Linked DNA regions of Rattus norvegicus. The protein of the gene in region 2 interacts with the protein of the main gene of each other region in a pairwise test. Links are inferred from orthologs where the notes say so. Each region holds a gene or a part of one and is shown on either strand. Other genes may lie near its edges.

What was found.
Region 1: the proteins of Morn4 (region 2) and Septin6 interact in binary tests that used the Homo sapiens proteins (3 or more experiments, as listed by UniProt). The two-hybrid records come from large-scale screens. The link is inferred for Rattus norvegicus from reciprocal best matches to the Homo sapiens genes MORN4 and SEPTIN6.
Region 3: the proteins of Morn4 (region 2) and Nutm1 interact in binary tests that used the Homo sapiens proteins (3 or more experiments, as listed by UniProt). The two-hybrid records come from large-scale screens. The link is inferred for Rattus norvegicus from reciprocal best matches to the Homo sapiens genes MORN4 and NUTM1.

Annotation. Positions count from the first base shown.
Region 1 is NC_086039.1:121,068,144-121,071,793, forward strand, and holds part of Septin6 (septin-6), read right to left. Parts: intron 1,919-3,650; coding exon 1,723-1,918; intron 1-1,722. UniProt on the Homo sapiens protein: Filament-forming cytoskeletal GTPase. Required for normal organization of the actin cytoskeleton. Involved in cytokinesis. May play a role in HCV RNA replication.
Region 2 is NC_086019.1:250,837,825-250,841,474, reverse strand, and holds part of Morn4 (MORN repeat-containing protein 4), read left to right. Parts: intron 1-931; 5' UTR 932-959; coding exon 960-1,026; intron 1,027-1,635; coding exon 1,636-1,750; intron 1,751-2,320; coding exon 2,321-2,430; intron 2,431-2,594; coding exon 2,595-2,743; 3' UTR 2,744-3,650. UniProt on the Homo sapiens protein: Plays a role in promoting axonal degeneration following neuronal injury by toxic insult or trauma.
Region 3 is NC_086021.1:119,508,671-119,512,320, reverse strand, and holds part of Nutm1 (NUT family member 1), read left to right. Parts: intron 1-571; coding exon 572-711; intron 712-1,148; coding exon 1,149-1,423; intron 1,424-1,693; coding exon 1,694-1,810; intron 1,811-2,218; coding exon 2,219-3,650. UniProt on the Homo sapiens protein: Plays a role in the regulation of proliferation. Regulates TERT expression by modulating SP1 binding to TERT promoter binding sites.

The DNA.
Region 1 (3,650 bases), on a different chromosome or scaffold from region 2:
TCATTCACCCCTCACATGCATCCCCGAACTCCTCCAGCTTTTTCTGGTTCTCTCTCTTCCCCTCTGCTTAGACTTTCTCTCTTTTTCTTTCTTTTTTGTTTTTTAAGATTTATTTATTTATTTTATGTACAGCAATTCTGTCTGCATATGTGACTGCAGACCAGAAGAGGGCACCAGATCTCATTACAGGTGGTTGTGAGCCACCATGTGGTTGCTGGGAATTGAACTCATGACCTCTGGAAGAGCAGTCAGCGCTCTTAACCACTGAGCCATCTCTCCAGCCCCTGCTTAGACTTTCTTAGTCCTTTTCTACAATCCTTTCCTCCATCTGCTGACCTTACGGACACCCTGTGGTTCCTGTGTTTAACACAGCATCCTTCTTGCTCTGATTGCCGGATGATCTTACGTATGTATGTGGTTGGAACGTATCATCTGCCTGTGCCTAGACCTTCTCTGGACTTGTGACTCTGTATGGTCAACTACCTATTGCTGATGTTATCCTGCATGTGAATATTCTATACATAGCTCAAAATCTGAATGCTTTGTTTCTGGTATTTTAAAGTCTAGTTCTTCTATATCTCTCAAGGGGGACCATCATAATTGTGTTACTCCCCAAAGCCAGAAATTCAGATTTCTGAATTTCTGTTCTATATACTGCCTTCACAAACCCCTATGAAATCTTTACTAGGATTTGTCAGTTTTACTCAATATTTATGGACTCCATCTCCGTCTCCCTATCTCAGCTCCTATGTATCTTTTGCCTCAATTTCATTGGTCTAATAGTTTCCTGATTGGTCTTGCTTACCCAGTGTATCTACACACTAGCCCATAGGATTTATCCCAAAGGCTAATCAGGCAGCATTCTGCTTCCTAGAACTTCGGAATGGTTCCATATTTGTATATTCTATAACCTTCCAGGAGCTGACCTCCATTTGTCTCCCTCCCTTTATTTTTAGCCCAGAGAACATTCTAGGTTTAATGGGGCCTTATGCTTACACAAGTCACTGAACAACCCTAGAATAAGACTATCTTATAACTAAAAGCTAGTTACATGGCTATACATGGGAACCCCAAAGATTAAAGTTCACTGCTTTCCCAAGAAGCCTGCCTCTCTATCTAAACATGCCACACTGCGGTTCTCTAGACCACACCTGAGTTCTTTCCTTCACTTTGCCTTTGAAGAAGTGGGCAGCTTCCTGGATTGCCTTTCTCTCTCATCACCTGTCTGTCTGGCCAGTCCTTCAGGAGTTAGCATAGAGTCTCTCCTGGGAAGGCCTCTCCGCTTTCTTCTCTGCATGGAATTGACTGTTCTTGCCCTTGTGGTCTCATTGCAATCTGCCCTTCATCTCTTTGTACCCAGTCCTTCACAGAACATACTGGTCTCTATGGAAATTATTTGCTTAAGCAAAACCTTTCCCGTGAGTGTGTCAAGAGCAACGATAAAGCCAATCCTTCGTAGGTTGTTAGAGTACAGGAGGACCTGGCACAAGGATGAACGGAATCAAGAATCCACTCACGTGTATTACAAAGACACCCTCCTTTTGGCAAAGTATATGAAGTGGCACAGTTATAGAGAAGGACCCCACGATGATGCCCTTTTTACAAGTTGCCTGCCCATATCACTCTAGTGGGCCCCACAACCTGTGTTCTCTCCAAGACTCCCATGGTAAGTTCCTTTTCATGGTTCCTCCATCCACTTTCCCATTTCACTTCTTTTGTTACCTGTCCTCCTTGTTGATCTGGTCCCCAAAGCCTACAGTGCTCACAATTGTGAGCTTCAACCCCACATTGCTCTCCTGGAGGTCGTAGGTACTGGACCGGAGCTGAACACCTGGCTGTGTGTGAGTCGTTGGCTCCCCTTCAAACTTGGTGTTGAACAGGGTATCCATGAGGGTGGACTTGCCCAAACCTGTCTCCCCTGAAAGGCAAAAGACATCAAGCGATGACTATGCAGCCATTGTGCATCATAGTTCACAGAAGTGAAGAGCTGCACAGAAGTACGCACAATATCAAGTGTCAATTATGTGAAAAAGGAAAGCAGCGACATGCCGGCAGCAGAGAGCTCACAATACTAGAGAATTGGGCTAATTTCCATTTTTGTCTTCACAGGTTTTTTTCTGTTACTTGAATCTTTACCTTGAGCACATACTGCTTTTAGAGGCAGAGAAAGAAATGCTATCCATACAGATAGAGGGCTATAATTATCCCTAGAAGGAGACCGTAGAGGGCTATTAATACTTATCTATGACTGGTAGCCTTTTATATACAGTTTTCATTTTTTCTTCAGCTTTTCTGTGTTTCCTAAGTAGAACATGTAAATAAATACCAATCGTCAAATAAATACCCACTCCTCTCATCCTCCAGCCGCAGGTTCTCCCCAAATAGTGCTCAATTCACAGATGTCATATTTTAGTCTCCCACAAGGGAGACTGAACCTACTTTTGGCTTCTCCCAGCCTAGATGACCTTTCAGGGAAACCACTTTGTATTTTTTAAAAAGTTTTTTTGTCTACCGAGGAATGAACTTGAGCTGCAAATTACTCTTCTTAAATTTCAAACAGACCAGGCATTTGTTTGCTTAACTAACATGTTGGCTGTGTGACGCTAATAAATCCAACCACTAGAATTTTAAACTTGGCCGATAAATGGGGCCAGGGTTATGGTGGCCTTTTGGTAAAGGTTTGGGGAGGTTATTCCTGGGACACTAGAGGACACCAAACCACTGCCTCGAATCAAGGAGTCTTTGGAGAAGACATCACCCTCAGGAAATCGAGAGATGTTGGTGACATGGGCATAAGCAGGAGTGTGATAGGAAGCCACAGCTGGGCTAGGCACTAAAACCACTTTTAATCTCTGTGGATTTGGATTGTATTTGGCTCCCCATCCCACCCCAAGGGAATAAGAAATACTAGGAACCAAAAGGCTACAGTAGCTAAGCTGGAGATGTAGCTCAGCCAGTACAGTGTTTGCTTACTAGAGTTGAAGCCGTGTCTGATCCCCAGCATTGAAGAAACGGAGCAAGGTAGCACACACATCTATAACCCCAGCACTCAGGTGGTGGGGGCAGATAAGAAGGATAAGATCAGCCTCTGTTAAATCTCCAGTTTGAGACCAGCCTGGTCTTTAAGTCAACAGCTAATGAGAGGCTGGACATGGTGGTGCCTACCCTTCCTCCTAGTACTTGGGAGGCAGATATCTGTGTTTGAGGCCAGGCTGACCTACATAGTGAGTTCCGGGACAGTCAGGGCTATGTAGAGAGACCCTGTCACAAACAAAGTTAATGACCCTGGACTATTCTTTGAGCACTTTTGACCACAGTATTCCTTTACTAGCATCGTCTGTCTTCTTTCTACCCCACCCCCCACAACCAAGGAGAGACTATGTGACCTTTGATTTATCCTCATAGTTGGGGTTAGGTTTACTCTGGGTAGTTCCTGGCCTGGCAAATCTTCCCTTAGGACCAAGTACACATTTGCAAGTGTATAGAGCTGGATGATAGGGAACCAAAAATGCTTCCTCTTTCCCCACTCTCTCAGTGTATATATATAAAAGAAGCATATGCCTCCTTTATCAGTGTATATATATAAAAGAAGCATATGCCTCCTTTATCAGTGTATATATATAAAAGAAGCATATGCCTCCTTTATCCTA
Region 2 (3,650 bases):
ACCTTTGTTATGAGTAATGTTTAGGGTTTGGCTTTGTTTTTTTTAACTTTATGTCTGTGACGATTTGCCTGTGGGTCTATGTGTGGACTGTGTGCTTACTTGGTACCTGTGGAAGTCAGAAGGAGGTTTTTGGATCCCCTGGAACTGGAGATTAGATGGTTGTGAGACATGATGTGAGGTTGGGAATGAAACCTGGATCTTCTGCAAGAGCAACACGTGCGCTTAACCACTGAGCCATCTTGTCAGCACCACCAAAAAACTTCTTAACCACTCTGAGCTTGTGTTTCTTCCTCTGTAACACAAAGGAGTTTGCATTACATCTGTGTGGTTCTTTAACAGCTCAAGATCTCTGTGTATAGTCTCTATCACCCTAAATAAGCCGTCTTATCTAAGCGGACCAGATAACTTGTGTTTCCGTTGCTCTCTTACTGTCTTTGCTGCTTGCTTTTGCATTTAATCCTTTCCCCCATTGATTTATGTGGAGGCAGGTCCGCATAGCTGAGGATGACGTTGAATGCATGGTCCGCAGCGTCTGCTGAGATTACAGATGTGCACCACAGTTGTGCTGAGGGCTGCTCACCCCTGTACTTGACACAGAATTACCTTGTCCCTGGTATAGCCTGGTGTTTCACCTGCTGAGCCTACCGACCTTATTATAACTTCCCTGAGGGGACTCTGTTTATGCATCCACAGAACACAGCACGTGTCAAGTAAATATCTGTAGATTTAGCTTCCATTTCCATCACAGGAAACAGGAACTGGCTGAAAACGGAAGGGGTGAGGGCGCTTTAGCCGAGGTGGAGGTGGGGGGCGAGGAGGACATTTTAAGTGACCTGAGGTAGGATTGTACTTGAGGTAAATGTGCACTTGCCGGAGCTCAGCCTCTAGTCCTCTCGCCATCCCATGACTCTGCTTTCTCTGTTTATCATAGTTGGCATCCTCTTCTATAAGCTGCCGCCATGACCCTGACGAAAGGCTCCTTCACCTACTCCAGTGGAGAGGAATACCGCGGCGAGTGGAAAGAGGGTGAGAAGCTGCCCTGGGGCAGCCAACTCCAGGGCGCCATTCAGTCCCCACTGCGGGACTCAGCTCCACGTAGAACCTTTCCTTTATGTCAGGGCTCAATGAAGGAACTAGAAATGAATCCAGTCTTCCCACTCCTTCATGTATAGTGCTTGGACACAGTCTGTTGTCTTAAATATGAGGTGCCCAGAAGAGCCAATTAAATTCTTTTGGGTGCAGTTTAGAGAGTTCAGGATTCGAGAATTAGTGAAAACCCTCAAAAACAAGTGACACTCCTTCCCTGACTCCTGTGACAGCTTTTGACAGCGGAAGTGATCCTAAATTCTTAGGAAGAACAAAACGCTTTGGAGCCGTGACTTTGCTGAAACGGCAGCACAAGCACTTTAATGGCTCAGTTTGGAAAGAAAAGCTGGCCACCTTAAGGTCTCTCAGTGTTCAGTCCCAGCAAGCCACGAAACTGACCCAAGGACGAAGGCCTTTCCACACTAAAGAGGGGCGAAGGGCAGCTTTTCGTGGGTAAGGCTGTGGGAAAGTGTGGGCTGCTAAGCCAGTGAGAACAGGACCCGGAAGCTCCCCCATTCCAACCTGGTGCCTGTCCTTCTCTTTGCTCAGGCCGGAGACATGGTTTTGGTCAACTGATGTTTGCTGATGGTGGCACCTACCTGGGTCACTTTGAGAATGGGCTTTTTAATGGCTTTGGGGTACTGACCTTCTCAGATGGGTCAAGGTAAGTATTAAGTCACTCCTCCGTCGTTGAACTAGCAAGACTCTGATACAAGTATGAGCCCTGGTGGTTGTCTGTCCAACCCTGAGCTTGCCCAGGCACTAAAGGAAACAGAAAAGGGATGAGCAGTTCTTTTCTTGATTCCTTTTCTTTTGAAACTAAGCTTTATTTATTTCTCTGTGTTCTTTATTTGTGAAGGATGTGCCACAGTGCTTGTGAGGAGTGAGTTCTCCCCTTCCGCCATGAGGGTCCCCAGGATTTAACTCAGTCATCAAGTGTGGGGACAGGTTTCTTTTGTCTACTAAGCCATCTTGCCTGCCTTTGTTATTTTAAAATAAATGTCAGAGCCAGGCACTGTGGTGAATGTTTGTAGTCCTAGCACTGGAGAGGCAGAGTAGAGAGTATCCTGAATTTCAGGTCATGCTGGTCTAGGTGGCACTGGTAGAGTTATGAGATGAGCTCCACCACAGAGCTCACCTTGACTGACAGACACACGGACGACTGCTCGCCTCAGTTACCCCACACAGCCAACGTACCCACTGAAGGCTAACTAACCTCTTGGTCTCTCTGCAGGTATGAGGGGGAGTTTTCCCAGGGCAAGTTCAATGGTGTCGGAGTCTTCATTCGATATGACAACATGACCTTTGAGGGGGAATTTAAAAATGGGAGAGTGGATGGCTTTGGTAAGTTTCGGCTCAGCAGAATGGAACATAGGTGGAATGCTCCTGTGTCTTAACTCTCCGGTGGCTCTCTCCAGCAATCTGCAGTGCCCATGCCTGAAACTCTCTCCTCCTCTCCAGTCTCTGCGTGTCAGGCTGACCCGTCCTCCCCTCTGTCCTCCTCACAGGCTTGCTGACTTTCCCAGACGGTTCTCATGGACTACCCCGCAATGAAGGCCTGTTTGAGAACAACAAACTTCTGCGCCGTGAGAAGTGCTCCGCCGTGGTTCAGCGGGCTCAGAGCGCCTCCAAGTCAGCCAGGAACCTCACTGCCTGACGGAGCTCTGGGTGCAGTCGGAAAGTATCTGTAAAGCAGTGGTGTCCCTTGTGTGCGTGCGAGGTGAACAAATGAACCGGAAGTGAGATGAGAATGACCCTGATGTCACAGCCTGAGAGGTGCTCTGTCCCCTGCCAGGCAGGAGTTCAGTGGCAGGCAAGAGTGGAGGGTTTTGGCCCCAGGACCCTACGGCGGTTATGTCCTCCCTGGCCCTGATGCGCTCAAGCACAGGGCCTGCCCCTCTGCCATGTCATTCCCAGGACCTTGGGTTTCCCAGTGCTGTGGCCTTCTCTCCATCTGCTGTCAAGCCACAGGGAGCCTCTTCTTTCCACCCAGATAATCCCAGTCCTGTGTGCTGCCATTGAAGAAGTCAGAGAAAGACAGGAGTGACATAAATCACAGCAGCTCTGTGAAGCCCAGGCCAGAGCTCTTCTGGGTGTTACCCACTCATTCACTGCATTTGGAGGCCTGGCTCTGGGCTGGTCTCTGTGTCTTCTTATCCCTCCTCAGTGTAAGAGTGTGGTTTTCTTCTCCCTCGGCTTTACCTGACTCCTCCTTACCTGAGTTACAGCAGACAGCCCAATCCCCCTCTGTGCCTCTCTCCTCCCTTAGATGTCAGACAGGATCCCTTTATAGAAAGCCATGTAAGAAACTAGTGTGAAGGAAACGTATGGCCCACATTTGTTACTCACTCCGGGGCAGAGGGCAACCCTATCCGGGCATCTGTGAAATGATCTGGAATCGCACTGAGAGAGCATTCCTTCCCAGTGTACCATGATCACACTCATTGTCCCTTGCGTGTTCAAAGATTTGGATCCATCCTAGTGTGAGCTCCATTTGACTCATGACTCTAGAAGCAAGAGTCTTGGCTCTCAGGCCTGGGACAGATCTTCCTGCCAAAATCATC
Region 3 (3,650 bases), on a different chromosome or scaffold from region 2:
AGAACTGTCATTAGGCTACAACCTACCCGTGAGCAGCTTCCCCTGGCCGTCCCAACTTCAACAGGATTTAGCCAAAATGAGGGTGCATGGTTTCCTGGCCATGTGCGGATGCTGCCTGGTGTCTGTGTTACTGATGGGATGGATTCTCCTTCTCACCACAGTCTGTATGCTTTTTATTTAAATGCTAATAATTTTATGTGCACTGGTATTTTGCCTGCGTGTATGTCTGTGTGACAGATTTTAGAGTTACAGACAACTGGGAGCTGCCATGGGGGGTGCAGGGATTTGAAGCACTGAGCCATCTCTCTAGCCCTGCCCGTTCCTTCTTTTATTTATTTTTTATTTTTTTATTTTTTATTTTTTTCTTTATTAACTTGAGTATTTCTTATTTACATTTCGATTGTTATTCCCCTTCCTGGTTTCCGGGCCAACATCCTCCTAACCCCTCCCCCTCCCCTTCCATATGGGTGTTCCCCTCCCCATCCTCCCCCCAGTACCGCCCTCCCCCCAACAATCATGTTCACTGGGGGTTCAGTCTTAGCACTGCCTGTTCCTTCTTTACCCTCTGCAGGTTCATGGAGTTTGAGGCTGAGGAGGAAACACAGATACAGAATGCACAGTTGATGAATGGCTCCCCGGGTCTGTCCCCTATAGCTCCTTTGAAACTTGATCCTCCAGGGCCCATGGTCCCTGAGTCTTGCCAGCAGCCAGGTAAGGCTACTCACAAAGCAGATGAGGATTAGGAAAGGCCCTATTTTTGCTGCGGTCTTTCCTGGAAGTGGCACTGCATAAGCCAAACAATGCCCCACAGGGAACTGGGGTCTTGGCTCCTTTTGTTTGGATTAGCCACGACCTTGGCCACGTACACTAACTACTCTCTCACCTAGGTGGTGCATGAGCCCTATGTTTTATCAGCCTAAGACATGGGGTTGATCAGGTGGTTTCTTGGAATGTCAAAGTGTGTGGATTTAGCCTTTAGAAAGATTTCTAACAGTGTTCTTTCTCATACCCTCCAACTTTTATGTTTTCTCCCCCAAAAGCTTGATCCTATTCTGGAACCATTTCCTGAACCCAAATTTCTTCTCTTCCAAGTATCACTGGGAAGTAGATACCAAAGCATCTTTCCCACTCTCTATCCCTGCCCTCAGTGTACATTCCAAAGAAGGCAGCCTCTAAGACACGGGCTCCCCGTCGGCGGCAACGCAAACCCCAAAGGCCTCCAGTTCCTGAGGCACCCAAAGAGATCCCACCTGAAGCCGTGCAAGAATATATTGACATCATGGACGGGTTGATGGGGAACAATGTGGACACTGGGAAGACAGAGGAGGAAGAGGGGCAGCAGGAAGATGCAGGGATGTATCCCGATCCAAGTCTTCTGAGCTACATTGATGAACTATGTTCTCAGGAGGTCTTTGTCTCCAAGGTGAGCTAGGTCTACATGGCTAATTTCTAATAAATATTTAGGGACTCAGCACTAGGGGGCATCAGCTCTCTGGGGTTCTGCATATGGCAGAAGCCTCCATTCTACAATCTGGAAATAGGTATACATGTGGCTGATGGTAAGGACCACCACCAATTTCTATAGCACACACCAGGGTGAAAGTGGAAGCATGGGTCTCATAGCTTTGTCTCTAGAGCAACTGGGTTTACAAAGTACTTCTCAGTGAGATTTACACCACTCTCTGTTCCCCAGGTGGAGGCGGTCATTCACCCTCAATTTCTGGCAGATCTGCTGTCCCCAGAAGAGCAGAGAGATCCTTTGGCTTTAATTGAGGAGCTAGAGCAAGAAGAAGGACTTACTCTTGCCCAGGTAAAGTTGGGAGGCAGAGAACGCCGGGCAAAGGAGCTTGGCTGATTTTGTATAACCCTTTGGTATCCTCAGAGTGTTTTTAGAGGATTTAGGGTTGGGCTCTGGGTCATATGAGGGCACAGAAATCAGCATTTGAATAACACAAGGACAATCTTCACACAGTGCACGGAAGTGTTATGCCTTCAGTCTAGAACAAGTAGGTAGGGGATTATGTGAACAGTTTACAGATGAGGAGAGGCTCACAGCAGAGGCAGGAAGCTCTAAAACAGAAAGAGCTACAGTATCTATCTTTGATACCCTCACTTAAAACACTTGCTTTTCTCCCCACACTATCTACCATCTCCTATCACCCACTCAGCCACCTCTTCTAACCATGTATAGAACTGGCATTTGTCCATTCCCTTCCAGCTGGTCCAAAAACGACTCCTGGCCCTGGAGGAGGAAGACGCACAGGCGCCTCCGAGTTGCAGCGGAGCTCAGTCAGACTCGAGTCCTTCTGTTTCTGATGAGGATGAAGATGGGGGTCAAAGGCGTCGACCCTCGCCTGGGCTTCAGGGGGCTGCGGGTATTGTTCGCATTGGAAAATCTGCTTCTCCAGGCAAGCAGGCAAGGGAAATGCATGGTGGGCAGGAACAAACACTAGGTGGTCCAAGGGGGGTTCACAAGGATGGAAATAGTCTGCCATCCCCTAGCAGCTGGGACCTGCAGCTAGAGCACACAGCTTCCCAGGGAATGCAAGTACCCTTGGGTATGGAGAGAAAAGGCTCTGGGAAGGCTATAAAACAGCTACCTGCAACTCAGGATGGCCACCCAGGAGGTACAGGGTCATCTGGGCACTACCCAGTAGCAGACAGGAATCCAGAGGTTATACCTTTTTGTTGGCAAGAGGATCTCCAACACGTGAGAGCCTCCAATTTGGATGTTGGACATATAGAGCCAGTTCCTCTGCAGGGACTTGGGTTAGAAAAACAGGCTTTGGTGTTGCAGATAGGACAGCAGATTGGGGGAGCTGGGATGCTTACTAAAGGAAGAGAACAACCTTCAGTGGTTCCCCAGAAGGGCTCTTCAAGAGCCATGTGGGGAGATGACAGAGGTCCTGATGTGGTTCAGAGTTACGGTCAGAACCATTCCCCTGGAGCAGCTGGCAACCTAGACGTGGTTTCTCTCACCCCAGGACTGTGGCTGAGCAGTGACATGGAGGCTGTAGGCTTAGAGTTTCCCTTACAAATCGAAAATGTTACAGAAAGCATCCGGGATGAAGCATTTAAAAGGGAGGACCAGGCCCCAGGTTCTAGAAACAGTGCCTCTCCAGGTACTAGGAAAAACAAAGTGCCCAAGGATGTGGGAAAGAGCATGATTCCCTGTGGAGGCACAGATAAAACAACTGTCCCAGAAATGAGAAAGTCCTGCAGCTTGCCGGGACCTTTGATGGCCAGTGGTCCAGGTTTGAGGTCCAAAGAAAAGCAAGAGCGGAGCCCTGAAGCCACACAGAATCCCAGTGACCTGTGGGCTGAGGCTTGCTCCCCACTGCTGCAAACACCTGACCCTTCCACACTGGGGTCCTCCAAAGACACCCTGGTACCCACGTGCCAAGGCACTCTTCTCATTGTTGGGACCCAGGATGCCTCCTCTTTCCCCGAGGCTAGCCAAAAGGCAGACAGCAGGGGTAATCTACTTTTTCCTCTGTTGGAAAACATAGAACAGGTCAAATTACTAGATGTTAGAAATGACAGTGGCCCCCAACCAGGGGTCTGCAAGGACTCCTGCTCATCAAATTTTAATTCTTTTAACCCCCAAGGAGAGTGCAGGGAAGACACTGTTTCCTCCAAACCCACTGACC